Linked DNA regions of Rattus norvegicus. The protein of the gene in region 1 purifies or fractionates together with the protein of each later gene. This does not show direct contact. Links are inferred from orthologs where the notes say so. Each region holds a gene or a part of one and is shown in the gene's direction. Other genes may lie near its edges.

Region 1 (14,987 bases):
GCGACAAGCAGGGGTGCCTGGGTCTTCAGCGAGTCCCTTCGTCGCGCTTGGAATGTGGGTCGGGGAAGAAGAAACCGGCCGTTCGGGGTGCTGGTTTTCTTGACGGCCAGGACAGAGCCTAACCCGAAGGAGCGGCCGCGTGAGGCACCAGGAGCCCACCCGGCGCCGGGCGGGCGGGTCCATTTTGCCGCACAAGCCGGGCAATTGGCAAACTGCGGATGGGCAGGTCCACTTTCCTTCGGGGGTGAGCGGCCTGAGGTATGGGAGGGCGACGCCATTTCTCGACGGGGGCGGGCGGGCTGCGGATTGTTCCATGGCGGGGGAGACGCCACCGAGTGGCGGAGCGAAAGAGCACATGGCCGCTTGAGAGATTCCCCTCCCCCAGTCTGCTTCGCTTGTCTGTTGTGCAATCTCCCCCTTTGCTAGCGCGGCTGGGGCTCATTGTGCGCGAGGCCGCCACCGCCCGCGGCCTCCCACATCCGGGTACTGTGGAGGGGGGCCGGCCGGAGGGAGTGGGGGAGGGCGCGGGCGGCATGACGTGGGGGGGAAGGGGACGGCCCACCCACGGAACTTGGAGGTGGAAGGCGGGACTTCCGGTGGCCTTGGTGTTCCGGATGGAGGTGCACACGCTTTGATCCGCCAGACCCAGAACATGTGGGCCTGGCAGCAAAGACCGCATCTCGGCGCCGTGTGTGTGTGAATGAACTCCTCTACAGCCCCTTGATCTTAAAGGAGGGTCACCCTAAAGTGCCTCTGGATGGTCCTTTGGGAATAAGTGGGAGTGTTGGATCGGGAATGGGCTAGTTGCTTGCATGCTCTAATCAAAGCATGAAAAAAAAACTAGTGCTTTGAATCAACAGATCCAGAGACAATGGCCCCGATGGGATGGAGCCGGAAGGCGTCATCGAGGTAAGACTAGAATCTGTGGTCGCCACTTTATTATGTCCGAACAGGCATTTCCTTATGGTGACATAGACCTTAGATATTTAGGACGGTGGAACAGAGCAGTAGGGTGGGGCGACTGCAGCTTTGGTATAAACTAAATTTATTCATTTTTGGTATCCTGCAGAGTAACTGGAATGAGATTGTGGATAGCTTCGATGACATGAATCTCTCAGAATCCCTCCTCCGTGGTATTTATGCCTATGGTTTTGAGAAGCCCTCTGCCATCCAGCAGCGAGCTATTCTTCCTTGTATCAAGGGTAAGACTCATTATCAGGCTAGATATGGACTGTCCTGATCTGCATAGTGTGTATGGGGTTGGTGGTGGGCATAGCAATGGGGGTTGGGGGGACAACAAATTACCTTTCCTAGCTTCTTGGTTCTGGGGTTTTATTTTGTCATGCCTTAGAGGGGGTTGCCATTTCCAATTCGAGGCCTTTATTATTGCTTTATGTCTAACCTAGCCAGCTGTGTTTGAGTTCATAATGTTCTGGTAGATGGCACCAGCCTTGTTCCATTACTGATGTCAGGAAGTCTCACAGGTGTCCTCTGAGCCTAAGGTGCAGACTTTTTACACATCTAACTCTTGATCTGGTTGTAGGTTATGATGTGATTGCTCAAGCCCAGTCTGGGACTGGGAAAACAGCTACATTTGCCATATCCATTCTGCAGCAGATTGAATTAGATCTAAAGGCCACTCAGGCTTTGGTTCTGGCACCCACTCGTGAATTGGCTCAGCAGGTAAGATTGGTGTTTCCAATTCTATATGACTGCTTTAAGAGTTCAAGAAGAGTCTGCCAGTGGTGATGATACTGGTGACCCAGGCATGTGGAGCACTTCAATTTTAAGGCCAGTCTGGTCTACAAAACTAGTTCCAGGACAGCCAACACTTAGAGAAAGCTTGTCTTAAAGAGACAATTAGAAGATCAGGTCAGGTACGCTCTTGTATGCCACTGGGATTTGTTGACAGCTTCTAGATCTATTGAGATTGGTTTGCCTAATTACTAACAACTTTTCTACCAGGAAAAAAAAGCACTTTAAATCCATTTTCTGAGTCAAATAAGGAAGGGAAGAGTATTGTTAGAATCTAGCTGGCTGGGCAGGTTAAACTGTGTTTACAACAAACATACCACCCCCTGGACATGGGCAAGGAGACACCATGTTGGTGGTGTTGTTCCTATATCAGTCAGGGGCAGAGCAGATGTAGGCCTTTGTTCATCCTAGCTTGATGCCTGGCTTGGTGGCCAAAGCTGTTTCATGCCTAGGGCACATGAAATCCTGGTGCTAGTCTGTTAACTACTATTTCAAGCCTAGTGATCACTGAAGCAAGCATCTGGGTAGCAATGTAAGCAAGACGTGATAAGAGGATTGACACCTTAGAACCCTGTAGATCTACTTATTTTGGGGGTTTGCTTATGAGCTCAGCATGGATCACTAAGTCTTGGTTCTGTAGCAGGGATGGAATAATCACCTTGTGGGTATAGATAGGGCTGTGTTCATAATCTCAGCCTTTGGAATGGAGTAGTAGGATGTAGTGTGAGTTGTTTGTAGAGCTGGCCTGGTTTTTATGAGGCTGCATGTAGAGTGGGAAACTTACTGTGAACCTGTGTGGACGGATCCAGCATTGCCATTTGGTGGCGGTATTGGTGGTGTTGGAAGAGGATTAAGTGGATTCCTGTTTCTCAGTTGCTAAGAGTGGGATAATTCCTGTCTGTAATAAGAAAGACTTAACTCACTGGTACTGCCCAAGTTAATGTAGATGCCTTTCTACATTTAGATTCAAAAGGTGGTTATGGCACTGGGAGACTACATGGGTGCCTCTTGTCATGCCTGTATTGGGGGCACCAACGTGCGTGCTGAGGTGCAGAAGCTGCAAATGGAAGCTCCCCATATCATCGTGGGCACCCCTGGCCGGGTGTTCGATATGCTTAACCGGAGATACCTGTGTGAGTGCCATGGAACAGTTGTTGGGCTCTTTTCTACATTTCATTTCCTTGGATGAGTTTTCCTTTAGTTGGAATTGAGTTGCTCTGTGATGAACCCCATGCGTGTCATCTGAGCCTGGCTTCCCTGTTAACCTTAGCCCAGGTAGTGTTCTACTTACCAGGGCTTTTGCATGACCTATCAGGGAAGCCGAGGGCAAAGGATCAGTCCTTGCATTCTGAGAGCAGACTGTCTGCCTTCTGCCTGCCTTATCAAGAGACCTCAATATATTTCACATTTGTCTGATTACTATATGTTGGGGTTTTTTTTTTCCTGCCATCTAGCACCCAAATACATCAAGATGTTCGTCCTGGATGAAGCAGATGAAATGCTAAGCCGTGGGTTCAAGGATCAGATCTATGATATATTCCAAAAGCTCAACAGCAACACACAGGTAAAACAGATGGTGTTGGAGGGACGGTGGCTCGGTTGTGATTTGATTGTACAGTGCACTCAATCATGGCTGGGGCATTTTTCCCACTAGGTAGTTTTGCTGTCTGCCACAATGCCTTCTGATGTCCTTGAGGTGACTAAGAAGTTCATGAGAGACCCTATTCGGATTCTTGTCAAGAAGGAAGAGTTGACCCTGGAGGGTATCCGCCAATTCTACATCAATGTGGAACGAGAGGTGGGGCCCAGTGCAGGAGGCGGGCCTGGTAATAAGTGTTGGGTATAGCTCCTGATTGATGTTTCCTGATCTCCAGGAGTGGAAGCTCGACACATTGTGTGACTTGTATGAAACACTGACCATCACCCAGGCAGTAATCTTTATTAATACCAGAAGGAAGGTGGACTGGCTCACTGAGAAGATGCATGCCCGGGATTTCACAGTTTCTGCCATGGTGAGTTTTCTCAGTCTTGTTAATGATAGATGTGTCTTTGTGTGTTAGGAGCCTTATGCTAGCTGCTCCTAACCTTGTTTTCCAGCATGGAGATATGGACCAAAAGGAACGAGACGTGATCATGAGGGAGTTCCGGTCTGGCTCTAGCAGAGTATTAATTACCACTGACCTGTTGGTGAGTAGATGCTCTTTTAAGGAAAGAAAGGGAGAAAATAGCCCAAGGTGATTCCCTCTCCAAAGGGCTGACTATGTGCCCTTTTTAGGAACGTAGCAACTTGGAAGAAAGCCAGGCATGTCCAAGGTCTCTGGGGAACAAGGAATACTTGTTTCCTTTGCCCTCCTTTGGCAGCCTACATATATGCTTACTAAATTAGGGTTGATAGTGTCCTCTGATGGCTTTATTCTTTCTTGACCTAGGCCAGAGGCATTGATGTGCAGCAGGTCTCCCTAGTCATCAATTATGACCTTCCCACCAACAGGGAAAACTACATCCACAGGTATTTACCTGGTCTGACAGATCAAACACTCCCTGTGCTTAAAAAAAAAAAAACACGTTCCTTTCCCCAACCTAACGCCTTTTTAAACTAACCTCCCCCCCCCCCCCCCAGAATTGGTCGAGGTGGTCGGTTTGGCCGGAAAGGTGTGGCTATTAACATGGTGACAGAAGAAGACAAGAGGACTCTTCGAGACATTGAGACTTTCTACAACACCTCCATTGAAGAGATGCCCCTCAACGTTGCTGACCTCATTTGAGGGGCTGTCCTGCTACCTGGCCCTAGCCCAGGGTTCAGTCCTGGGGGCAGGGCTGAGGAACAGCTGGAGGGGGGAGGGAAGGGAGCCAAGGGATGGACATCTTGTTTTTGTTTTTTTGTTTTGTTTTTTTTTTCTCTCTCTCTCTCTCTTTGAATAAATGTCACTTTTTGAGGCAAAAAGAAGGAACCGTGAACATTTTAGACACCCTTTTCTTTGGGGTAGGCTCTGCCCCAGGCGCCGTCTCCTTCCCCCCCAAACACTAATGCATTTCCCTAACCTAATCACCTCATTCCTAAAGGCTTTCCTACCCCAGCCAAATCTCCAAAAGTGAGTCAAGGGGCTAAAACATGGCTGGCCTCATTTGCTGGACCAAATCTACAGGGAGAACCCCCTGAATGAGGTTGTCCAGGGACTTGTCCCCAGGTGAGGGGAGCAGGGGAGAGAAAATGGTAGCCATTTTTACATTGTTTTGTATAGTATTTATTGATTCAGGAAACAAACACAAAATTCTGAATAAAATTACTTGGAAACTGCCTGTTTGGGCTTCTTGTTTCTTCCCTTCCCTCTCCTGCAGTTACTAGTGTGGTTCAGCTGCCCCTGCACTAGTTCTTTCCTGAATTTGCCATGTTGCTTCCTGAAATACCAAATGACCCACACTACTGAAATTTGGTAGTGGGCTTTAGCACAAGACACAAGTGTCACTTGCTCCCAGTTTTGAAAAAGTAGTAATGGGTTCAAAGACTTCAACTGGGTGTTAGTCATAACCCAAATGTGGGTGCTAATTACCTTGGGTTCTGTAGCCCTTGCTGTCCTGCGGTTATATAGGCCAAACTGGCCTTTTGGGTCTGCTTGCTGCCTTACAGTGCTGGGATTGAAGCACATGGGTGAGGGTGAATTTCTTACCAATGAGGAAAAGGCTTCCTGTTTGCCTGCTTTGTAAACTGCCAAGTAGAGCAAGTTTTGGCTTAGGTAAGTTCCGTGTGAGTCAACTGCCTCATCCTCACATGGTAACTAAGACTACCGCCCACTGAGAAGGCCACTACCAATCAGTGCTTAATTGTGAAAACATTTAAATTACTTTAGCGGGTGGCTAGAGCTGAGGTGCCTGAGTCAGGTTTGGGGTGGGATTACTTTGGTTAAGGGAAGTAAGAGTTTTCATTTCCTCTTCCAAGAGAAGAGGGGATTGGGTTGAGGAAGGAGCTGTTACAGCCTAGCTGGACTCAGCAGCTCTACCATGAGGTTCCCTGTGTGTCTGACCTTGCTGGTACTGCTTGTAGGTAAGGAGAATGGGAGGTGGGAGAGAGGGAGCTCCTGGGCAGGAGCCGGCACCTGGGTTATCAACTAATCTCTTAATGAAAGCCCAAGGAACAGGGAAAGACTGTCCTCACAAAAAGGCTGCTACTCTTCTGCCATCCTTCACGGAGACACCTACAACCACCGGAAGCACAGCAAGCCCTACGACCACCCACAGGCCCACCACAACCAGCCACAGGCCCACCACAACCAGCCACAGGCCCACCACCACCAGCCACAGGCCCACCACCACCAGCCACAGGCCCACCACCACCAGCCACAGGCCCACCACCACCAGTCATGGGAATGCCACAGTTTCTCCCACCACAAACAGTCCAGGCTTCTCCACTGTTGGCCCTCACCCTGGACCACCTCCGCCCTCACCAAGTCCTAGTCCAAGCTCTACTGGGGCTCTTGGAAACTACACATGGACTAATGGTTCCCAGCCATGTGTTCAGCTCCAAGCCCAAATTCAAATTCGCATCTTGTACCTGACCCAGGGTGGAAAAAAGGTAAAGTAGTAGGGCTTAAAGAAGGCCAGAGGCAAGCCCTGGGCTGGTTCAGAAGGGAGGAGGAAGAGCAGAAGGGATAAACTGGGTGCCATTCATGTGACTTCAGACCCACTATTCTTTCACTTCTGCAGGCCTGGGGCCTCTCTGTATTGAACCCGAACAAAACCAAGGTCCAGGGGGGCTGTGACAGTGCCCATCCCCACTTGGCTCTCTCATTCCCTTACGGACAGCTTACCTTTGGATTCAAACAGGTATACAGCTTGAATTTGTCTTCCTCCTTCACTCTTCTATATCCCACCCCTAGACCCCCTAAGCCTCCTCCTTGCTCTATGGACATGGATGCCACTGTCCCTGATGCCTTGAGCCTTTCTGTTCACCTCAAGGACCGACATCAGAGCCACAGTACAGTCTACCTTAACTACATGGCAGTGGAATACAATGTGTCCTTCCCACAAGCAGCACGTGAGCAACCTCTTCTCTTTACCACACTAAAAGTCTACACTGGAAGTGCTGGGGTGGTGGTGGGGACTCAGGAATCAGGACTAGATTTGAATCTTAATTACTAATTACTTTAGAGTGGACATTCTCAGCGCAGAATTCATCTCTTCAAGAGCTCCAAGCTCCCCTGGGCCAAAGCTTCTGTTGCGGAAATACAAGCATAGTTCTTTCTCCAGCAATTCACCTGGACCTGCTCTCCCTGAGGCTGCAGGCTGCTCAGTTGCCGGACAAGGGACACTTCGGGCCATGTAAGCTTGAAGTTTCCCATTGCACTGGAAACCTTCCCCAGAACTTTTTCTAAACCTCAGTCTCCTCTACAAAGCTGCCTATTTCCCCTTTCCTTATGCTCCAAACTATGGGGTTGAATTCCTCAACCTTTCTCCCTCCCACTTAACTCTTCTGTCCTTCCCGCCCACCTTTAGCCCATGCACCACTGCAGCGGTTCTCACTGACCCTGTTTTTTCTGCCAGGCTTCTCTTGCGCCAGTGACCAATCTCTCTTGCTGCCTCTCATCATTGGCCTGGTCCTCCTGGGCCTCCTCACCCTGGTGCTCATTGCCTTCTGCGTTACCCGGAGACGACAATCAACCTACCAGCCCCTCTGAGCATTTGCTCCAGTCCACTCTGTAGGCCACCAAGGAGCATCCTCATTTCTTCAGCATGCAATTGACTCAACAGAGTTATCTCCCTTCTCTGTCTTTAAGAACAAAATTAAGAGATTTTTATAATAGGGGTGGGGAATTAATAAACATGCATGGTACGCACTCCTGTTCTCATGAAGAGTAGAAAAACTTAATGAAATCTTTGCCCTTGGCTTCCTTTGTCCTGCCAGGATCATGTGCTTTCCTGTGCCTTTCCATGATTGAGTCACCAAGGGACAGCTGGCAAGAAGGGACAAAAATACCAAAGAGTGACCAAATGCCTTCATGGGTTCATTTCTTAATGTCCTGCAGCTGCTGGTGAAACTACTAAAACTCCCGCCTCCCTCTGGCTGCCTGTTCCCTTAACATAATGAATCATTCCATCTTAACATCCTCTTGCTGACCCTTGTGCGCAGTTAGAGGTACAACGCAACCAAAATGTGAGTAGGTGGCTGTATTATTTTATTTCAAAAGTGGCTACTGAACAATGAGATTCCATGTCCACTGTGCCAGGGCTAGCTCACTGAGGAGCCCACTAGTGCAGCAGACACTCTGACTTCTATGAAGGTTGTGCTTCTAGGAACAACTTTAGGCCTGGCCAACAAATGCTTGATCCCTGAGTAGCAGAAGGAGAGGAAGTGATGCCATCTGCAATCTGCCCTTGTCCAGATTCTAAAAAGATATTTTCAGATGGCTAACCACGGCACCAAAAACGTATAAATTCTGTTTATAGTAGGGCATGGTACAAGGATAGGAGCCAAGCATGGGTGCCCTTCCAATTTTACCAGTGCCATGAGGTTACAGAAATCCCTGGACTAGCGCTCCACCCAGCAGAGGTACATGTGGCAATCCTCCCTGCCCAGCAACTACCCCCAAGAACAAGGAACGGGGAAACAGTTTGGGAGTGCCTGATAGCCAAGCGTAGATTCATTAGGATAGTAAACGTAGTAGGTAGGTGTCTTGGCAAGAGTGTTGGAATGTAGCGTGGCTCTCTTCGCCTAACCCTTGGGGCCCTTTCCCAGATAAATATAAATTTTTGCTCGCATCCTCTGGGTTCCCACCTAGACACAGAAGAGGCTCTGCGTCCCCGTCCCACACCCCACGTTGTGTCAGGGGCTGCTATATCCTGCCGGTGAGCTCGCCCCTCTTCTGCTTCATTGTCATCTTAACATCTGGACAGAGGAAGAGGGAGGATACTAGAAGGAAGGCCCAGCTCAGAATGGCCTTTCCGGCTCTATGCTATTTACCAAGAGAAGATAGGAGAACTGCAGCGCCTTCACTAGCGCCATTTTGAAGACTTGAACTCTTTTCCTTTCCAACTTCAAACAGTATAAAGTTGGCAGAGAAAAGACAAGATGGCGCACACACAAGAGGGACAGAGAAAGAGGGAGAAATAAACCTTGCTTTCAGAACCCAGAGCGTAAACAAAAGTGCGGAAGTTCTAACTGCGCAGGCGTAAAACTCTGACATGCTTTAAAATTCGAACATCAAGGCGCGTACAAAACCTAGTCTGTGAAGAACTGTCTCAGCCTACTGAAGCTAGCAAGGGTCCTGTAGGAAAGGGAAGTGCAGCCCGGTCCCGGGGAGGAGGCGGAGTATACGCATACGCAGTGCGCATGCGCGGCGCAGGTCAATGGCGGGGTTATCCGGACTGGCGGAAGCTACCTTTCCAACATGGCGGGCGAGACTGACGGACCGTTCAAAGGGGTGCTGGTACCAATTCTTTTACCTGAGAAATGCTATGATCAATTCTTCGTCCACTGGGACTTGCTTCATGGTGAGTTTTATTCAGCCTTCAAAGTCTAGTTCGAGCAATCTTGGACCTAAGTTAGCGTGACAGTGCCGATTAATGTCACGCGAAGCTGGGCAGAAGGCGCTTCTGAAGAGGGCGGAAGTGTTTTGGACCCTGCATAGGAAAAGTGCCATATTTGGGCATGAGGGGGTGTCGCCCGAAAAAAATAGTTAAATTTGTGTTTTACAATCTGGGAAGTCGGTACCCCGCCCTCATCCCTTTCTGGACCGGGGATGGAACTCAGGGCCTCTTGCGCCACACTGCTAACTAGGCTCTATCCCCAGACTTGAAAACTCACTTTTTATAAAACAAAATTAAAATCCCAGCCAGGCATATAGACCTCCTTTCAGTCCCAAGCACTCAACTACAGAGGCCCATGAATCCCCACCCCGACCCCTCCACCCCCGCCCAGCACCAACTTCTGGAATGTGTTATGTGGCACAGACTGGCAGCAGTCCTCCTGCCTCAGCCACCAGAATGCTGGGAGTATAGCAGCACTTTACTTTCCTTTTCCCTTTCTTTACAAGGCAAGTTCATTGCCAAATATCAAAGACTTTGGTAAGCCTTTTCCATCTCTTCTGTTCTAAGTTCATTTTGGCTTACAATAGTAAAGACTTCCTGCTGGGCCAAATGCCCACCAGGTCAAAGATTCCATGATAGGGAAATTGCCAGTATGGGGTTTCAAATGTAGCAGAGCAGCTCCCTCACTGTGATCTATTGAAAGTCAGTTCTCTGTGAGCTGGAGAGATGGCTCAGTGGTTAAGAGCATTGACTGCACTTCCAGAGGTCCTGCGTTCAGTTCCCACAACCACGTGGTGGCTCACAACCATTTATAATGGGATCCAATGCCCTCTTTTCTGGTGTGTCTGAAGACAGCAATAGTGTACTCATGTACATGAAATAAATAAATCTTTTTTTTAAAGATTTATTTATTTTATGTACATGAGTACACCATAGCTGTCTTCAGGCACACCAGAAGAGCACATCAGATCCCATTACAGATGGTTGTGAGCCACCATGTGGTTGCTGGAAATTGAACTCAGTACCTCTAGAAGAACAGTCTGTGCTCATAACCACTGAGCCATCTCTCCAGCCCATAAATAAATCTTTAAAAAGAAAGTCAGCCCTCCACACAGGGGTTTTGGAAAAAAAAGGAAAAAAGAATTAAAAAAAAAAGAGAGAGAAATTGCCAGCAACAGTGGCCCACACTTTCAATCCCAGCACTTGGGACACAGAGGCCGGAGGATCTCTTGAGTTCAAGGACAGTCTGGTCTATAGGGTGAGTTCCAAGACAAAGAAGTAAATGATGGAGATAGTGGAGGAACAGGGAAGAAAGTCCTGGAAGAGTGGGGATGACCTAGAAGGTTCAGGAATGTATGGTATCGGGGGTTTGTGCCTTTGGAAGGAGGAGTATTTGATTTGAAGTTTTACTGACAAGAGAGAAAAGGGTCAGGAACTTCTGAGCAATGCCTGTATAACTAAAAAGCAAGGAAGAGCAGGGAGGCCTGCAAGTTTGCATCCCTACTTGGGACTAGAGGGATGGTTTACAAGGCTGGTGACCTGAATTCAATTCCTGGGAACTACAGAAAGGCAAAAATGGAGAACTGGCTCTACAAAGTTGTCTCTGACCTCTGACCTTCACACATGTGCCTATAGACACACACAAAATAGATTATTCTTATGTATATTTTTATTTTTAGTATTTTTTTAAATTTACTTATTTATTTCATATATGTTGAGTACAGAAGAAAGCATCAGATCCCTTTACAGATGGTTGTTTTTAGTATTTAAATTGTGTGCATACATGTATACCCACACATGAACACAGTTGCCTGGAGATGCCAGAGGCGTGAGATATCTCTAGAGCTACAGTTACAGGTGTTGTGAGCCATCTGACATGGATGCTAAAATTTGAATTCAGGGGGGCTGGAGAGATGGCTCAGTGGTTAGGAGCACTGACTGCTCTTCCAGAGGTCCTGAGTTCAAATCCCAGCAACCACATGGAGGCTCACAACCATCTGTAAGAGATCTGATGCCCTCTTCTGGTGTGTCTGAAGACAGCTACAGTGTACTTATATATAATGAATAAATAAATTTAAAAAAAATTGAATTCAGATCACTGCAAAAGCAGAGACGTGCTCTTAATCACTAAATTACCTTTCCAGCCCCAAATTTTTAAGATGTATTTTTGTTGTGTGTATTCCCTTATGTAGAGACTTAGGTCAACAGAGTTGGGAGCAAAGCCATCTTGTTGGCCCAATAATATTTTTAAAGATTTATTTTTGTTTTATATACATTAGTGTTTTGCCTGAATTTATGAGTGTGTCAGATCCCCTAGAACTGGAGTTAAGAGTTGGGGTTGCTGGGAATTGAACCCAGATCTTCTGGAAGAACAGTCCATACTCCTAAACGCTGGTCTACTGTCTGTCTGTCTATCTTTCTAGCAACAGTTTCTCTGCAAAACGCTAGCTGTCCTGGAACTATGTAGACCAGGCTGGCTTTGAATTCATATAGAGACCTGCCTGCCCTTCCCTCCCAAGTGCTGGGACTAAATGTGTGTGCTACCACACCTGACAATAGTTTTTAAATATTTGAGATAGGGTCTCACTATGTAATTCTAGCTGGCCCTGAACTCAGAGATTCTTTAATCTCTGTACTACAACACACACATCCCTGATGACTTTTAAAAGACATAATTTCTTAGTACATTTTTTTTTTTTTGGTTCTTTTTTTTTTTTTTCCGGAGCTGGGGACCGAACCCAGGGCCTTGCGCTTCCTAGGCAAGCGCTCTACAACTGAGCTAAATCCCCAACCCCTTCTTAGTACATTTTTATTAGGAGTGTATTTTATTATGGGCAATGCATGGAAGTTCCGGAGTTGTCTGTCTCTCCGTCTACCATGTTGATTCTGGATTAAAGAGGGATAAAAGTTAGCTTTCCAGTTACACAGGCACTGCTCAAAAATCTCCTGACCCCACTCTCTCCTCAGTAACCGATGGCCACTTCAGATGCTCCTCCTCCCAAAGGCAAATCCCCACACCATGTATCCCCGAACCTTCTGGACCCTTATGCAGGCAACCACTCTTCCCTTTCATCAGCGTATCTTGTCAACTCTAAGAAATACTTAGCCGTATTTATAGGAAATGGAAGGTTGAACAGGAAGGAAGGCAGTCACGGAGAAGCTGTTGTGAAGATGACACGTCTAGTCTGAATGTTTGTAGCCAGAAGGATGTCTGCCCCACTATATCTCCCGCAGAGACTTACTGGTGCGGTGGTCAAATTAAGGGTGAGGGGAAAAGGGAGCAGCTAAGAGCACTTCAGACCCTCACCTGGGCTCCAGAGGCCTCTTTGCTTACTTTTTTCTCTCTTCTCAGTTCCCTGCCTCAAGATTCTCCTCAGCAAAGGCCTTGGGCTGGGCATCGTGGCTGGGTCACTTCTTGGTATGTATAGTTCCTTCTGTCAGAGTAAAGGGAAGGGGGTTGAGAGGCTGATGCCAAGGAATGGGGATAGTTTGCTTCTTCCTCAGCCATACCACTTTTTCCACAGTAAAGCTCCCCCAGATATTTAAACTCTTGGGAGCCAAGAGTGCAGAAGGACTGAGTCTCCAGTCAGTAATGCTGGAGCTAGTGGCACTGACTGGAACTATGGTCTACAGCATCACCAACAACTTCCCCTTCAGGTGAGAGTCCACTCTAAATGCCCAAAGCCAAATCCCCACAGTTCTTTTATTTATTTACTTTTTTACTATTTACTTGAGATGGGAGGGGGTCACAGAACAACTTGTTGGAGTGGTTCTCTCCTTCCAGCGAGTGTGTGTGTATCCTGGGGCTGGAACTCAGGTAATCAGGCTTGGAGGCAGACATCTTTACCTGCTGAGCTGTTCTCTAGCCCCAGTGACCGAAATTCTAATAAGAGTTCTAATAAGTGCTTCAGCCCTTCCAGAAGTTTACTCACACCCATGAATATGGGATGAAGGGAGCATTCTGAGTGACCGGGTGTGGTGGGGTTGTAGACCGGAAAGTACCGGCTAGTCAGAGAACAGAGTCTGATGGGCGATGGAGGCTTTCCCTGCCTTTTTCCAGGCCTGCCTTTTTCCTTCCCACCTCTTGACTCTGCAGCTCTTGGGGTGAAGCACTGTTCCTGACACTACAGACGGTTACCATCTGCTTCCTGGTCATGCACTACAGAGGAGAGACCGTGAAAGGTGCCGGGGATTGGCTGGAGAGCAGGCATTGTGTCTTGGGGACTTTGCTGGGGACTCAGGAGGCTCAAGAGGGCTCCTTGTCTCCCTGACCCCCAGGAGTTGCTTTCCTTGTCTGCTTTGCCGTGGTCCTGTTGGCGCTGCTTTCCCCAGTCATGCCTCTGGCTGTGCCCACCCTGCTCCAGGCCTCCAATGTACCTGCTGTGGTGGTGGGGAAGGTGGGTACTCAGAAGCAAAGGGATGTGTATGGTAGTGTAGAAGCAGAGGGAAACCTCCAAGTAAGGAGTGCAAGTCTGCGGGGAGTGAGGAAGGGTGATGGGTCACAGAGGAGGTTCAGAGGAGTATCAAAAGTATCAATTTCTCCTCTAGTTGCTCCAGGCAGCCACTAACTACCACAACGGACACACAGGCCAGCTTTCAGCCATTACAGTGTTTATGCTGTTTGGGGGCTCCTTGGCCCGGATCTTCACTTCTGTTCAGGTGAGTGCACCTTCTGCCCTCTAGAGGGCAGTAAAACCTCACTCTCAGCCAAGTGGAGAGGTAAGCTGCCTGCCTGCCAGCCCTGGAACCTTTCTAGATCTGTGCTGTCTCTCATACCAGGAAACTGGAGATCCCCTCATGGCTGGAGTCTTTGTGGTCTCTTCTCTCTGCAATGGCCTTATTGCTGCCCAGGTCCTCTTCTACTGGAATGCGAAGGCTCCCCACAAGCAGAAAAAGCAGCAGTAGAGCTAGCTTCTAGAATAATTCCACCTCCATCCATCTACTCAACTCCCACATGACCCGATCTGCTGGTGCAACTTAATCACCCTCCATCCCGATGTATTTGCCACCTCCTGAGCCTGGGCGGTAGGAATAGTAAAGCCCTGCCCTCACTCACTTCACCAGTTGCCTGGGATCCCTCCTTTTAAGCAGCTGTTTTCTCACGGGAGCAGGTGATTTTGCCCTGTCCACCTTCCTTTTGGACCAAGGACAGAGTTGGGAAATGTGGTTGGAAGCTAGTGACTGCTTCCCTCTGCTGCCCGAGTGGGACGATCTATTGGACCCCAGTTCTGGAGGTGGGGGAGGGGGAGAATGACTCAGATAAGGCCTCAAGGCTGGGCGAGGAGGGTCCTGCTGTGGCAGGTCCTGGCGGAAGGGTGTGTGGAGAAGGCGGCACTGGTTGCCACTGTAGGAAGAGAATACAGATAGGACAATAAAAGACTCAAACATGCTTTAATTATACAAAATTGCGCATTCTGGTTCCTAGGGTTCTGAACTGAAAGGGCTGGGTCTTCGGGGTTGTCCCTGATTGTCCGTGCCAGTTAAAGGTGGGTTACTGGCATGGAGGCACCAGCAAGGGAAGTATTATATATATGGAGTGGGAGAGCCTGGAGATGGGTAGTGGGGGAAGGAGGGTATTAGCTCCCCTTGGAGCCTAGGATCACTCTGAGGGACAGTACACGGTGAGGGGGCCTCCGGTCTGCAATGGGAAGAGCTGTAAAGAGAAACATGGGGTTTGGAGGTTACTCCTCTTGGTTGAAGTGATTGGGCAG
Region 2 (15,948 bases), on another chromosome or scaffold:
GCGCAGTGGGCTATTGCATAAACTAAACTGAGCACAGTGGGCTGTTGCATAGGAAGAGAACCCTGTCTGTAATCCCTGCTCTCTGGAGGAAGAGGCAGAGCCAAGGCTAAGTTGATTCTCACCTACATAGGCGGTTAAGATTGTGTGTGTGTGTGTGTGTGTGTGTGTGTGTGTGTACGTGTGTGTGTATGTATGTTAGGGTATTACTGTTGTGAACAGACACCATGACCAAGGCAACTCCTCTTATACAGGACAACATTTAATTGGGGCTGGCTTACAGGTTCAGAGGTTCAGTCCATTATCATCAAGGCAGGAACATGGCAGCATCCAGGCAGACGTGGTGCAGGAGGAGCTGAGAGTTCTACATCTTCATCTGAAGGCTGCTAGGAGAAGACTGGCTTCCCGGCAGCTAGGATGAGGGTCTTAGCCCACACCCGCAGTGACGCACCTACTCCAACAGAACCACACCTAATAGTGCCACCTCCTGGGCCAAGCATATACAAACCATCATACACACACACACACACACACACACACACACACACACACACACACACGGCCTCAGACTGGCATATATGTATATGTACACAGACACATATATATGAGTTATTGAGTACCTATTATGTGCCATGCACCAAGTTGTGTAAACCCCTTATTAATAAATAGTGTGATAGAATCATAAGAAAATAGCATCCTTGCCCAGCAGGAGAAGTGGAAGGGTGGGAATAATTGTTCCTGGCAGAAAGGAGATGATGAACTGAGGCAAATTTGTCCCGTGACACTTGAGTTATTAATTTGTTTTGATTCTTAATTTTTTTTTTCCTGGACAGGTTCTTGCTTTGTAGCCCTGGCTGTCCTGGGACTTGCTCTATGGTTTAAACCGGCCCGAGACTCTTAACAAACCTGCCTTACCCATGAGCCACTATACCTGGCTCTGACTTGGGTGTCGAAGGCTAAATAGGAGCTCGTAGGCACGTCAGGAATAGGAGATAGAACAGGAGAGAAGAGAGAATGGATGGAAAGCCTTTGGGGGGAGGGGATGAGTGGGTGTTCAGAGTGTGTGCAGGGAAGCATAAGAATGAGAAGCCAGGGGGCTGGAGAGATGGCTCAGTGGTTAGAGCACTGACTGCTCTTCCAGAGGTCCTGAGTTCAAATCCCAGTAACCACATGGTGGCTCACAACCATCTGTGATGAGATCTGATGCCCTCTTCCGGTGTGTATGAAGACAGCGACAGTGTACATGTATTAAAAAAATAAATAAATCGGGGTTGGGGATTTAGCTCAGTGGTAGAGCGCTTGCCTAGCAAGCGCAAGGCCCTGGGTTCGGTCCCCAGCTCCGAAAAAAAGAACAAAAAAAAAAATCTTTAAAAAAAAAAAGAAGAATGAGGAGCCAGCTGTGGCAGGGCCACGGTGGTTCAGCTGAGGAACTCGGACTCTCTCCAGTATCACTTCGGTTGGATACAGGCTGAGCGCCGGGCGCTTTCTTCAACTTCTCCATTCCAGTGGGGGAGGAAACCAAAAGACATTCGTCTGTAGAACTAATTCTGACTGAATCTATCTTCGTTCTCCCACAGATGGCCAAAGGCAGAACACAACAATCCCCCTGCCCTCACTGGCGCGCTCCCCTCTTCCTCTTCTCAGGAGTCAGGAAGTGCCAGTGTGCCAGACCAGCTCCCATGGAGATCGGCTCCCTGGAGCCTGCCTGGAGCTGGGCACCAGCTGTGAGCATCTGGAAATCCAGCTTCCTCCTCTGGCCGTTGGACACAGGCGGCTTTGAATCCAGGCCTCGGGTTCTTTAAGAGCCAAAAGGGGGTTGGACCACCCAGGGACAAGAATACAGTTTCCAGATTCCAGCTGGGATGTGCCAGTCACTTAGAGGAGTCCTGGCACAATGACCTACAGACATTTCACTGGAATTTAGGCGGTGCAAGGGAGGAAGCCAGGAACCAGCAAGGTTCTCTGGTGCAGCCACTGCCACCAGAACATGTTGAAGGCTTTGCCAGACAAGGAAAAAGAAAGTGGGCTCATCTGTCACTTTCGACCAGGGACTCTGTAGCTGGATATTGATGGTCTTGGGGCAAGTGTTATCGGTAACATTTCATCTCTTATCCATGCCAACTTTAGACGGCCGCTTTGCAACTCTCCCCCTCTTCCCCAGTTCACTCTGGTCTCAAAGTTCTATCTCTTTTGTTTCTGGAAGAGCACCAAATCTTAACGTCTTTGTCCCCCTACTCCGTAGTGTGTGTGTGTGTGTGTGTGTGTGTGTGTGTGTGTGTGTGTGTGTGCCCAATCATGCTCTAATTTACTGAGGCAGGCTGTCTCACTGGGTTGACTTCTCTAGGCAGCTTGCCCCATAGATCCCTGGTCTCTACTTGCAAGCATTAGGTTACCAGAAGGCAGCCAGATTCACCCAGCTTCTACCTGGACTTGAACTCCAAGTCCTTCTACAGCAAGTGCTCTCTCATCCACTGAATAATCACCTTCTCTGGTTTGGGGACAGGGTGTCTAGCCTAGGCTATTCTCAGCTTCGTGTCTAGCCTAGGCTATTCTCAGCTTGCTATATAGCCGAGGATGACTTTGAACACCCGAATTTCTTGCCCCCACTTCCTAAGGGCTGGAATTACAAGAGTGTGTCCCAGTATCTAGCTTTGTTTCTTTTTTTTGTTTTTTCTTTTCTTTTTTTTCGGAGCTGGGGACCGAACCCAGGCCTTGGGCTTGCTAGGCAAGCGCTCTACCACTGAGCTAAATCCCCAACCCCGTTTCTTTTTGTTTTTATGAGACAGGGTGTCACATGGCTGGCCTGGAACCCCATGAACACCTGAGGACCACCCTGACCTCCTGATCCTCCTACTCTGGCTCTCAAATCCTGATGGCTTGCTTTTCTTTCCTTTGGGCTCCTATCTCTCTACCCTTTCATTGGATTTAGATCTTGGGCCAGCAAGGTTCACACCAAGCATGCTCTTGGCAAAGGTTGCATGTATCAAAGAGATGAGTTTCATGACACAACCACATAGCCTCTGTGGCTAATAGAGATGGTGTTCTTGGCATTAACATGGCAGGTTTTATGCCAAAAAGCCAGCTCTTCCGGTAAAAACAAACAAACAAAGAAAGGACCATATAGTTCCAGCTTACCAATGTACTTTCAGAAAGGGTTTGTTTTTAAAGACTATATCATCAAGACTCCATGAACCAAGCCCCACAAGCTTTAATTAAGAAATCGCGGGTTGGGGATTTAGCTCAGTGGTAGAGCGCTTGCCTAGGAAGTGCAAGGCTCTGGGTTTGGTCCCCAGCTCCAAAAAAAAAAAAAAAAAAGTTGGTTTTAAGGGGCTGGAGAGATGGCTCAGCGGTTAAGAGCACTGACTGCTCTTCCAGAGGTCCTGAGTTCAAATCCCAGCAACCACATGGTGGCTCACAACTATCTGTAACAGGGATCCGATGCCCTCTTCTGGTGTGTCTGAAGACAGCTACAGTGTACTCATATAAATAAAAATAAGTCTTTAAAAAAAAAAAAAAAGAGTAGTCTTGGATGCTGGTGGGAGTCTGACCCCAGTGTGGGGGAGGGATGGAGACGGGCAGAGCTAGGGGCTTGTTGGTCTGCCAGCCTTTCTGAGATGGCAAGCTCCAAGTTATCAAAAAATAAGTGGGGCTGGAGAGATGGCTCAGCGGTTAAGAGCACCGGACTGCTCTTCCAGAGGTCATGAGTTTAATTCCCAGCAACCACATGGTGGCTCACAACCATCTGTAAAGAGATCTGATGCCCTCTTCTGGTGTATCTGAAGACAGCTACAGTGTACTTATATATAATAAATAAATAAATCTTTAAAAAAAAAAAATAAGTGGAGAGCAATAGAAGGTACCCGATGTTGACCTCTGGCTTCCACATGGACATAGTGGCTTTTACTTGTATACACACACACCAAAAGAGGACAGAAAGTAGTTATGTTAGACATCCTGGCATTTGTGTGTGTGTGTGTGTGTGTGTACAAGTACACATATATGTACATATTCATATACATATACATATGTAGCAGATCTCAGCTACATAGTAATATCACCTCAAAAACAAACAAATTAACAACAACAACCACAAAAGCCACCAACAGAACAAAATACATGGAGAAAAAGGTACCATGTGTATTGGCTGTGGCCTGTGATCCCAATTCCAGCAGGAAGATGATCTTCAATTAGAGGTCAGCCTGGGCCAAAGAAAGGAATTGGCCAGCTTGGACTCACAGAGTGAGACTCTGTTTCAAAAACCAAAAATTGGGGCTGGGGATTTAGCTCAGTGGTAGAGCGCTTACCTAGGAAGCGCAAGGCCCTGGGTTCGGTCCCCAGCCCCGAAAAAAAGAACCAAAAACAAAAAAAACAAAAATTGATGGGGGGGGTGGGGGACTAATTAGAGCTGGGGTTGTATATCCTTGGTAGTTTGCCTTCTATGCACGCACAAGGTCCTGGGTTTACCACAACACAGGGAGGAGAGCAGGAGAGAAAGGAGCAAGAATGAATGCTTCTAGAACAGATGGACTGGACATGGTGGGAGGCTTATAGTCTCATTTACTTGCAAGGTTCAGGCAGAAGGATTGATTGCTGGGGCACAGGAGTTGGAGTTAGAGGGGCAGCCTGGGCAACACAGTGAGAGCCTGTCTCAAAAAAAAAAAAAAAAAAAGAAAGAAGGAAAAAAAGAAAAGAAAAGAAAAAGAAAGAGAAAAAGAAAAAAAGAAAAAAGAAACTTAAAGGGCCCATCTGAACCCAGTACCAGTTCACATTTACTCAGACGGTAATTGCCCTGAGACTATCCATGAGCGTTCTTTCAGCTCATAGGGAATTCAGGGTTTTGGCCCAGGTTGCTGTAGGCTCTGGGTATAGCAGGCAGCCACCCAAAACGACAATGCTCCTCTAGGGCATGAGCTGTGTCTGTTGTAGGATATTCCGGCCCTGTTCTCTATGTGGTGAGGCTGAGCCTGGGCTTGTGTTGTCGGGATTCCTGCGGGGTAACATAAAATCCTCTGGCAATTCACAATTATTAAGTCGTTCGAATTTCATAGCCCATTTGAGTGCTAGCCACATCAGAGGGATTTTTAAAGGACAATGAAATGTCTCTGCGGAAGTGAATCATAATGGGTAAAGCATACCAAAAAATTACTGCATGCCAGGGAATCCCTGGGTAAGTGTTCCCTGTTTATTCCCTAAACCCCGGGAGGTGGGGAGTGCTTTACAGAGGAGGAAAACCTAGGCTCAAGGAGATTAAGAACGTTCTCTAGGGGCTGGAGAGATGGCTCAGTGGTTGGGAGTGTGTGCAGCTTGTGCAGGAGCCCTGAGTTCAATTCCCAGCACTAAGGTCAGGTGGCTTCACAAAAGCCTGTTAACTCCAGCACCTTGATGTAGCTCCTTCTGGTCTCTGCGGGGGGGCCCCAGCATTCGTATGCACGTACCTTCCCCCATCCCTTCCAATTCCATAAAAGTAGAGCCTTTCATGACTACTGTGAATCCCTTCCCCTACTCTCAAATGGCCTCAAGATTTAGCCTAAATCTAAGATCTTTCATAAACCAGTCTCCTCTTTTTTCCCTTTCTCTCCCTCCCTCCCCCTTTTGAGACAGGGTTTCTCTGTTTTAGCTCCGGCTTTCTTGGAACTCACTATGTAGACCAGGGTGATCTCAAACTCACAGAGATCCACCTGTCTCTTGTGGGATTAAAGGCATGCAACACTATGGTCTGGCTCTGGGACTCTTTTAACCTTAGCAGCCTCCTTAATCTCTTGGCAATGAAGCTCTCATCACTTGGGCCTGCTTCTGTTACCTTCATTCCACGAGTGGGGCCTGGGGAGTCTTAGGCCTGACAGAGGGGGCTTTCACTCATTAAGCTGTTTTGACATCGTCATGGAAAGCTTAGTGAACAAAGAGCTGAGATCAGATTTTTAAATGTTTTTATGTGTATGGGTGTTTTACCTATTATCTGTGTATGTATGAATCTAGTTCCCAAGGAGACTAGGAGGCGGCGATCTGGAGTTCCAAAGGCGTGAGCTGCCTTGTGGTCTAGGAATTGAACCGGGGTCCTCTTGGAGAACAGCCAGTGTTCATAACCTGTGAGCCTTCTCTTCAGCCCCCAGATCAGATTTTCTTGCCAGGTCTATGTTTGACGATAGGGTTGCTATGCTGAGGGCGAGACGTCTAAAAGGTCCTTTCTCAGGTTGGAAGCCCAGGACTTCCTTTTAGATGTCATACAAATTACCTTTCACGTCCTTGAGGCTTTATTTCTTTATTGGTGAATGAGGTGTAACACACATTTTACAGTGTTGTCAGGGAGTTAACCTCTGAAAAAATGTCTACACATAGTAGGTGTTCAGTGTTAGCTGCTCTGTAGGATGTGGGGGTGTCTAGAAGGGTCGGACTTCCTGTACTCAAATACAAGTGTCAGCAAGCACTCAAACCTCGGCTGCAGGGTCAGTTTTGCAAGAAATGAACAAAGGACAATTGTTCTACCACTGATCTACAGCCCTTGCCCCAAGGTCATGCTTTTGGAAGAATGGAGAGAGCCTGTCTCTATAACTTTGCTCGCCAAGCTCCTCCCACTTTATTGCCTGAGGTCAGAATCTTATCTAGACCTTAATATTATTTTGCCCAGGATCTGTCCTGTTTGAGGTTGATAATGCTCACAAAATGCTTAGCAAAGGCCAGGCGCGCACTAATTGCATGATGCTTGTGGCTATTATTAAGATAAAGAAGGAAGCTAGCTCAGAAAAGAATAGCCATTAGGCAATTATCAATCTGTTATCAGCCTCGAGTAAACAGGGAAGTCAAATCTTTCTGCTGGGAACAGATTTTGATTGGGATAAAGAAAAGCCTGAGATCTCAGAAACCTGAAATGAGACTCTGGGGGCCGAAAGGACCATTTGGCAATCTTTCCTGGACTTAGGCAAGCCTGGAGAGGAGTGGAGAAATCCACACTTAAGTAACCTGGGATAACAAATTTATACGGTGGAGCATGCTGAACTAGGAAATAGCTGTCCTGGTCCAGAGGCGGGAGGAGGCCTTCCTTCTAATGCAGGGCACTGTGGAGGCTCGGACAGCTAGAGGTAGTGGGGAGCAGGCCACGTAGCTTTTATCCTACAGGGAGCACCACATGTAAAGCTTTAGTTAAAAACAAAACAAAACAAAAAAAAGAGGGCCTGGTGGTGAGTGCCTATAATCCCAGTACTTGGAAGGTAGAGAGGCAAGATGGATCAGGAGTTCAAGACCATCCTCAGGCATGTAGAGAGTTGAGGCTAGCCTGGGCTACTTAAGACCCTCCCTCAAAAGACAAGCAAGTGGGCTGGAGAGATGGCTCAGTAGTTAAGAACACTGACTGCTCTTTCAGAGGTTCTGAGTTCAAATCCCAGCAACCACATGGTGGCTGACAGCCATCTGTAATGGGATCTGATGCCCTCTTCTGGTGTGTCTGAAGACAGCGACAGTGTACTTATATACAATAAATAAATAAATCTTTAAAAAACAAAAGCAAGCAAGGCAACACACCCCCAAATACCAACAACCACCTCCCCCACTCCGAAATCCACCAGTGTAGCAGGAGTCAGACACTGATCTTGTGTTTGTGTTCATGTGTATGGAGGCCAGAGGACAACCTCAGGTGTCATTCACCAGAGGGTGCTGTTCACCTTTAATTTGGAGACAGGGTCTCTCATTGGCCTGGAATTCATCAGAGTGGACTGTGGCCAGTGAGCCTCAGGGAACTGTTGGCTTCCACCTCAGGGCTGGGATTGTAAACACCTGCCTCACACCAGACTTTTCCAGAGTAAATTCTGGGGACTGAACTTGGGCCCTCATGTTTGGAAATCAAGAACGCAGGACACTAATTTTACCTCTGTCCATGTTGGTCATGTGTCCTTGGCAAAGACTCCTGTCAGTTTTGAGCCATCTCAAAAAATTATTTTTTTTAAGTAGTGTAGATGACAGTTAAACCTCTTTGGACCCCAGAGTCTTCATTGTAAGAATAGGCGTTTATCTATTTCTTGGGATTATATGAGCTAATAAAGTATTCTGTATCTGCACAGTGCCACATGTCTGTGACTCCTTTTCGGCTAATGTGTACTGGGGACAATATCCCTATGGAGGGGTGCAGGTGGTATGCAAAGTGTGAGTGGGGGTGGGGAGGAGAAGACCTTATCAACAAGTGTTACCCAAGCCAAGGAGAATGAGGAGCAGACTACAGGTTGTAGCCAAAGGCCATCCAGTCTTGAGGAAGGTTGTGGGAAGATATCCATTCTACAGAGCTCAGGGTCAAAGTTTCTGGTAAGGCAGGCCATTTTGCATCGTAGAAGGCAAGGCTCATCCTAGAGAAGGTGGAATCCAGTTTCTGAATCCTCTCCATCCCTTCCCAGCCAGGAACCCTGGGGCAGTCACTTTCTTCTCCGGGCTTCCTCTGCAAAATGGGGCTCCTCGTTCCATTTCGCACTTAGGGCATCTGAGGACGACGTGTCGACATAATGCCCAGGACTTGCGACGTCAAGGGCCGGCGAGTGGCATTTGTTATGTTAATAACTCCTTGCGGCGGGCGGGTTCCTATCTGTCGGTTTGTGCTCTGGCTTAGCGGTTCCCTCCACAGAGACTCGGTTTTTCCGCTCCGCCGCCTCTCGACGTTTGCTTGACAGGTCTCGGCGGACAGCTGCCTCGGGTGCGGTTCTTCGAGGCTGGGCTCTTTCCCTACAGACCTCTCCTCTGGTCTCTACCTCAGCCCGGCACCGAGCCGCGGGGAATCTCAGCGGTCCGGGATCACCGATCTTTGCCGAGAAAGAGTGTCAGCTCCTGCGGCGTTCCCGAACAGCGGCCGAAGACGCTCCCGAGCGCTCCCGAAGAACCCCGGCCGCTCGCAGTCTCCGGAAATAGCCGAGGGAGCTTTCCACCCTCGGTCTGCCGAGTCCTTCCGAAAAGGGCCGAAAAGCTCCGAGCGGCCGTCCTGCCGGACTGCTGGAGGCGGCCGCAGCGCCATGTTGGATGCTCTGCTCGTTGAGTGAAGAAAATCCGTCCGCATCGCCCGAGCCCCGCTACCGAGAAGGGCGCCGCTTCCCCCGGGGAGGGGGACAGAGACCCCCCGCCGCCGGCCCATGAGGATATTGCCGTGAAAGGTCCGGTCTCTCCGCCTCCTGCCCCCGCCGGGTCCGGCCCCCCCCTCCCCGGGGTCGCGTTGTCACGGAGACCGGCAGCCGGTGGTGCTGGCCCGCGGGGCGGCTGCTGCTGCCCGCGGCGGCGGCGGCGGAGGCGGCGGCGGCGGCGGCGGAGGGCGTGTGTGACCGGTCCCGGCCCCCTCCTCCTCCTCCTCCCAGCCTCCCCCCGGCCCCCCGCTCCCGCCGCCTCCCCGGGTCTGCCCCCATCCCGCCCCTCCGCTGCCCCCGGCCCCTGCACCCCGGCGCGCCCGGTCCCGCTCTGGGGGGGTTGGTGGCTTCGCTTTGCCATGAGTTTACCGCAGAAACCGGCTCTGAAATCAGGCTCAGCGGCTGCAGCAGGAACCGGACCCGGCACCGGAGCGGCGGCGGCGGCGGCGGCGGCGGCGGTACCGCCTCCTCACCCGGCGGCGGCGGCGGCGGCAGCGGCGGCGGCGGCAGCGGCAGCAGCGGTAGCGGCGGCCCCTCCTCACCCGAACATCAGGGCCCTCCAGACCCCGGCGCCCCAACAGTATCCTTTTCACCTTCCAGCGGTCCAGAGCGACCCTTGGTGGGAACCTCCTTGCCTGCCGTCATAGCCCAGCAAGGAAAGGGACGGGCAGCCGCTCTGCTCCCGGCTTGAGTCGAGCCTTTGGGGTGCACCGGTGACAGCATTGCTGGGGACCCCGGGACCCTCTGCGGTACCGTGGACACTAGCTCCACCGGGCCGTGCCTCTGCAGCTCTTGTGGATCTGGGGGAACCCTGCCCTTGCTGCTCCCTCCCCTTTATTGGGCAGAATTTGCTGGTGCCTGGGACCAGCCCTGCAGGCAAGGCTTTTTTGATTGTTGGGAGGCCCTGCCTTCTGCAGGGTTCCGTGGCCTCTCTAATTATTATTTAGAATACATAGTAAAGTTTATTGCTAAATTTCCTGTTCGAAACGAATCAGCTCATTCCTGAGGTAAGTTGGGTCTTCAGTCTTCAGTGTGAGTGTAGGAAAAGCACTCCCCCTGGCTAGTGTTTAGTTTTGTTTATATTTTATTTTATTTTTTGAGCAATTAGAGTTGTGTTGTGGCTTGTGGTGGAACCGGCTAAGGAGGAAATGTTACACTGGGCGCTTCCCTGTCTTTGACCTTTTTAAAGGAAGAGGAAGTTAACTCACATTACCCAGCACCCCCAGAAGTCTCACTTCTTCCAAGATGGGTGTTACACTGTACATCTTTTTAAAGGGCTTTAGTAAGTTTGCTCCTTCATAGACTTGATGTCTGGAGGGTACTCGGGCCCTCAAGGATGTGTCTTAGTTTTGAATGTGTCTAATTTCTTGATAGAGAAGTTGGGGCAGCTTTGATTGAAAAATCTTGGTACCTGGTGTTTTAGTCAGTATTAAACTTCAAATTCATGGCTCCCCCATGGAGCTTCAGCAAGGTGGTTGGTGTCCCGTCCCCTTCCCCACTGGGTTCCTCTATGTAGCCCTGGCTGTCCTAGAACTTGCGCTGTAGACTAGGCTGCCCTTGAACTCAGAGACACGCCTGCCTCTGCCTCCCGAATGCTGGGATTAGAGGCATGCGCTACACTACTTGGCAAGCTAAGGTGTTTGTTACCTATCTGAGAAGAACATTTCAGCATTTGCCCCTCCTCCCCACATTCTTGTACTTGTCCAAGAATCCACAAATGATTTTTGGATGTCCCCTGCGCTGTATGGTTCTCGCATTTGACTTTTAAGATGGGAGTGTGTTTGAGCTTGTCTTTTTGTGTAGTTTGATTCTTGCCTGTATCAATTACTTTGAGAAGGGAAAAACGCTTCCCTTCTTGGGTCACCTCAGGTCATTGTTTTCTGTCAAGCGTCCTTTCTGCGTTCTTTACGTATTGTTAGTCCACATCTTAGTGCTTCAGTGCTGTCTGTGTGCTGATTTCATAACGTTCTGACCCTGCACCGTTCTGTTCAGTTCCTCGCTCACGGCTGAGAAAGTTGCACGTTCATGGAAAACCCAGTTACTTCTGACCCACATGCGCAGCTACTGGCCTGTGGAGGAGTAGGTTGGCTGCTCAGCCTGCTTCAGGGTAGAATTGGGTCGCTCCAGTCCGCCTAGCTTGTCTACCTAGCTTCGCTTCATACTTCTTTCACATTCCCTTCTCATTTTAGGGTTGTTTTTCTTGATGGCCTGTGTTCGTAGGTTTCTGTCTCCGGGCCAAGTGAGTTATCTATCCCTTACCTGCCTCTTTAAGCTGTTAGGCTGTTAAACCAGAGGAAGTGCACAGTATGTGCTCTTGACAGAAGAGCAAGTAAGGGATTGCTGTGTTGTTTGTGACAGTGCTTGGCGAAGTTGGTGGCTTCATTGGATACAGAGCGGGGTACTGAGTAGCCCTCGTGTGCTTTTTCTCCTTATACCTCACAGCTGAAGGACTGGAAAAACTTGAAGCTGGTTACAACTTGGAAGTAATGGTTGGAGCTCCACTTAGGTTTTATCTTTTCTGTAAAATAGACGATGCGGTGGGTAATGGGAATACGTTTAAGGCGCTCTTTACAGTAGAGATTATTCTGAACCCTTCATGGCAATGTCGGCGCCAACCATGTTGCTTTAAGGTTCTGTTTTGCCTCATGTCATGGCGGCTGACATTTTATACTTGATGTAGTCTGTGATTCCTGCTTTATTCCTGGCAAGATGACACTGCTGAATAAGCATCTGACTAGATAGTAAAGGAAGTGTAGGCTAGAGCCACCTCAGAACACAGCCGTGGTAAAATGTCGTCACCTGGTAACGGAAGAGGTCAGAAATGCAGTAGAGCATTGTGCTTTTCAAACTGGAGGGGATGTGGGAATTCGGGCTTGGTGCAGATGCAGTCGTGCAGTAAGATGGTGCCGTAGAAGCCCTTGGGGCTGGAGTCGGCTCTTTCCATGCCTTCCAGCATGTGGTGGAGTTGCTGCAAGTGAGTTAGTAAGCAGTGCACTAGAAAGTGTGTTGGAAGGAGTCGGCTGGCCGGTGTCCTTCATCCGTGCTGAGTGTTCAAGTGTGAGTGGAAATGAAGGGAAGTGTTGAAAACACGGGATTTGAGGGGAAGCCTGAAGCTGGAAGCAGGCATCAGTGTTGAACTGCAGGACCCTTGAGACCACTTGAAGGAGAAATGGCCACATTGACTTCAAAGAGTCAATGGATGTTTGCTAGCAGAGCGAGCGAGGTATGGGATGGCAGGCCCGGAAGGAGAAAAAAACACCCTAACACGAACAGTACTCAGAGCAAGGAGAACATGCTGCGAGTGTCCCTCACAGACACTGGAAGCTTCTGCTTGGTGAGACCGCAGCTTGGGAATGTTTGTCTTGTGTCTTGATGTGCTCAACTGAGCTTCCCCGTTGAGGTTGAGGTGGCTCTGATGAGAATCTTTTTTTTTTTTTTTTTTTTTAAAGATTTATTTATTTATTTGAGTGCACTGTAGCTGTCTTCAGACACACCAGAAGAGGGCAGCAGATCTCATTACAGATGGTTGTGAGCCACCATGTGGTTGCTGGGAATTGAACTCATGACCTCTGGAAGAGCAGTCAGTGCTCTTAACCGCTGAGCCATCTCTCCAGCCCTCTGATGAGAATCTTAACGATGGTCATCCTTTTTCTGGCTGACAGAATAACTAACATTTTGATCAAAAACCAGTCATGCTTAAGTTCTTCAGGGGGTTACTGGGTCCCCCATTAAAATCCCAGCTCTTTAGATTTGAGACTGCCTGCCCACGTTTCAGAAAATTCTGGATAAATGAACTCGAGTTAGGTGCGCATTTGAGCAGAAGTATTTTCTGTATGTTAGGAATACAGTATCTGTCCGTCTGTGTCGGAGGCTGAGGCTGTGATTCAGGGAATCTTCTTTCTTATTTAGGGGCAGCCAGTTAAGCCAGTGAGACACAGTAGTTTCTTTCCAGGAACAGAACTAGGTAGAGACCGGTGTCAACCAGAAGAGGACTTGTGTCTCTGGCTTCTTTGTCATAAGTGTTCTTTCTATCTTTGCAATATTCCTATTTCTTTTTTTAATCGTCTCTCCCCTGGACATTAAGTTGGCCTTAGCTGGTGAAGTGTGTGATGTTCCGCTCTGATAGCGAGGTCTGGATAATAACACCCATTTTCAGTACCTGCTGCTGTAGAGGTCGTACATGCAGCATTCTATTTAAGTTTTCCGAGACTTCTAATGAGGTAGGTGTCTGTTTTACAGACAGGGGTACTGATAAGCAGAGAAGTTAATTTCCCGGGTCACCTGTGCCAGTGAAGGGTGGTGTGTGAGCAGACTAGTGGCCTGTGGTGGCCTTCTTACTTGGCTGGGTGAGCAGCCTGTGTGTGGGCCTGGGAGGAAGTGTCAGTACTCCGCTGCATCCGAGAGAAGCCGTGCTGAGGAATGTAGAACACAGCCATGGTCTAGGGTTTTAAGTTGTTCACAACAGCATACTGCTAGACAAATAGGCTATCTTCCCCCACTGAGCCTTAACAGCATGGAGGTCCTCCAGTGGACTTAGTTCATGGTTCTGCTTGTTCACGAGTCAGCAAGGCCTCCAGCAGAGGGTCACGGTAGCCAGCAGTTGGAATTCTGAGGCTCTTGTGGCCAGCAGCTCCGAAGCCACTCTGTCAAGAAAAGTGTCAAGTCTTCAGAGGCAGAAGCAGGCAGATCTAGAGTTGAAGACCAGTCAGGCCACACAGTGAGACCCTGTCTCAAACCAAGCCAAACCAAACATTTTTGAAGGCAAATCCTCATGGAGGGAGAAAAGAGATGGCAAAGTGGTAATGAAGAGGGAGAGCCCTCCCAGGTGCCTAGTCAGAGCACATCTGCTGCCTCCAGCCAGTTGACTGGCCACGGATGGGTGGGTTTGGTCACCTGAGAGTTGAAGCTTGTCACAGGTTGCTTTTCTATATTGAGGTTTATGATGAATCTTGAGGGCGATTCTTTAACAAGTTTGACAGCATCTTTTACACGCAGTGGAGAGAATGGCTCCGGTGTGTGTTTACAGATTTATTTGTATTCATTTACTTACCACCTGCTGTGCCTGGTTGCTAGGTGTAGGGTTGAGATAACCTTTACCCTCAGAGAGATTGGTCCCAACAGGCAAGTAGGATACGATCGAGATAAGACTTGGTGACCACTCTGCTGTGAGTCCGGTGTGCAGACAGGAGTCAGGGCTTCCTGGAGGGAGTTAACATCTGAGCAAGGTAGAACCATGAGTTGTCAAAGGATTCTTATTCTCCTGCTCGAACTGTCCTCTCTGAGGCTTACTGCCTGCGTCTGCCAACCTAGGCCTAGTCCTGGAAGCTTCTCGCCTCTGTACAATCTTATCTAGGCCTAGAATGTTGTCAGCCACTACCCTTGTTGACTAAGCTCACCCTTTCTAGTTCTTTATGAGCTGAGGCTGACTGGTTCAGCTCAGCTGTCTTGGCTCAAAACTCCTCTCCACGCTGACTAATTCAATCTTGCTGCTTTCTCTCTTGGCCACTTCTGAATTAGTTTGACCTCTAACTCTGTCAGTCTGTCTGATCTTCTGACTCCTCATTCTCTGGCTCATTTTGTCTTCACTTGTGTCTAGCTTGATCTCTCTCTAACCTCTCTCTGTAAAACTGTCCTGATAAAACTGCCTCCTTCCCCCTCTCTACATTGTTCTCTTAGTAGCTTCCTTCTCTCCTCTCTTCTGAGGGTTGGGCAGATCCTTTTCTGTCAAATCTTTCTCTGATTCATCACTTTATCTGCCACTCAATTAGACATCATTTTTTAACATGACTGCTTCTTTCTACAAACTAACTTTACCTTCATTGTTTGGGATTAAAGGTGTGTGCTAAGGGCTGAACCACACCATAGCAAGAAAGTCCCCCCACCCCCCCACACTAAACTCTGGGTTCACAGAATGATTAAGAGTCCTGCAGCAATGAGTAATTCCTGTTCTGGAGCTGCCCCGCCAGCTGGGCTTTACTCTTACGCCTGCCTCTCCCCTGTTGTGGGGAACTGGAGGAAGTACTGTAGACAATGTAGTTGTTACAGAGTCAAGAGTGTTTTGTACCTGATGGGATGGGCATGTGTGCCCACCCCCCCTTAACCCTAGAAGCCCATTTTCCTTTTGGGGTGCCTAAGAGCGCTGGTTGTCCCTGTTTGGAGCCTGGATGTGGTCCTAGCACTCCTGGAGGCTCACAGCTGTCTGTAGCTTCAGTTCCGGGGATCCGTGCTGTCTCCTGACCTCCACAGGCACACCCATGGTATGGTGCACAGTACACATAAAATAATAAAAGAAATAAATCTAAAATCTCTACAAAAGGCCGTTGACCTTTTGATAATAGACTTTGACTTTGAAATAATTTCTTTTAACCTTAAAAGACCAGATGGAGCTTGATAACATTCAGCAGTGCTGGGTGTGAATTAGGCAGGGTTTGTGTTCGCTCTCACTAATTGAGTTAGTGTTGAGTCAGGGTCTTGTGTGGTCGGCCTTAAAGTCTGTCACTTGGGGTTGACCTTGAGCTTCCTGGACTTCTGGTTCTCCTGGGTCTTTCTCCGGGTTTTCCACTGTAATAGGAGTGTTATATTGGGTTGGTCACATTGAGTTCCACGGAGCATCTGTGTTGCTTTTCTCCAGCGAAGGGGTCAGTGATCTTGAATCCCAAGGGTTTGGGATTTTGAAGATGTGCTTTGAGGTGTGTTTTGCTATTGCAGGTATAGGGTGGGGCTTAACTGGATCAGTTAATGATATCTGTGTGTGTCTGGTGGCAGCTTTTTGGTCTTCCTAGAATGCTAATGTGGAACCACAGGAAGAGGCTTGCTGGCTGGGGCTTCCCACCAGACTTAGCCTGAGACCCAAGTGTCTCTG

What was found.
Region 2: the proteins of Eif4a1 (region 1) and Eif4g3 purify together in Homo sapiens (co-immunoprecipitation; 6 studies listed by BioGRID and IntAct, counting the BioPlex papers as one, with this or other methods). This does not show direct contact. The link is inferred for Rattus norvegicus from reciprocal best matches to the Homo sapiens genes EIF4A1 and EIF4G3.

What each region holds. Positions count from the first base shown.
Region 1 is NC_086028.1:54,873,161-54,888,147, reverse strand, and holds the end of Eif4a1 (eukaryotic initiation factor 4A-I), read left to right. Parts: coding exon of another isoform or gene 1-278; exon of another isoform or gene 279-366; intron 367-557; exon of another isoform or gene 558-652; coding exon of another isoform or gene 653-690; intron 691-860; coding exon 861-909; intron 910-1,069; coding exon 1,070-1,202; intron 1,203-1,543; coding exon 1,544-1,683; intron 1,684-2,073; exon of another isoform or gene 2,074-2,216; intron 2,217-2,719; coding exon 2,720-2,888; intron 2,889-2,969; exon of another isoform or gene 2,970-3,111; intron 3,112-3,209; coding exon 3,210-3,319; intron 3,320-3,409; coding exon 3,410-3,553; intron 3,554-3,629; coding exon 3,630-3,767; intron 3,768-3,852; coding exon 3,853-3,942; intron 3,943-3,982; exon of another isoform or gene 3,983-4,125; intron 4,126-4,184; coding exon 4,185-4,264; intron 4,265-4,375; coding exon 4,376-4,520; 3' UTR 4,521-5,055; downstream 5,056-14,987. Other genes in the region: uncharacterized protein Eif4a1l, read right to left, coding at 1-278; Cd68 (macrosialin precursor), read left to right, coding at 5,755-5,797, 5,880-6,325, 6,457-6,576, 6,709-6,787, 6,901-7,071, 7,294-7,427; Mpdu1 (mannose-P-dolichol utilization defect 1 protein), read left to right, coding at 9,138-9,240, 12,629-12,694, 12,801-12,933, 13,373-13,458, 13,555-13,673, 13,825-13,935, 14,056-14,181; Sox15 (protein SOX-15), read right to left, coding at 14,800-14,929. UniProt on the Homo sapiens protein: ATP-dependent RNA helicase which is a subunit of the eIF4F complex involved in cap recognition and is required for mRNA binding to ribosome.
Region 2 is NC_086023.1:155,472,426-155,488,373, forward strand, and holds the start of Eif4g3 (eukaryotic translation initiation factor 4 gamma 3), read left to right. Parts: upstream 1-8,952; 5' UTR 8,953-9,119; intron 9,120-9,445; coding exon of another isoform or gene 9,446-9,666; intron 9,667-15,948. UniProt on the Homo sapiens protein: Component of the protein complex eIF4F, which is involved in the recognition of the mRNA cap, ATP-dependent unwinding of 5'-terminal secondary structure and recruitment of mRNA to the ribosome. Functional homolog of EIF4G1.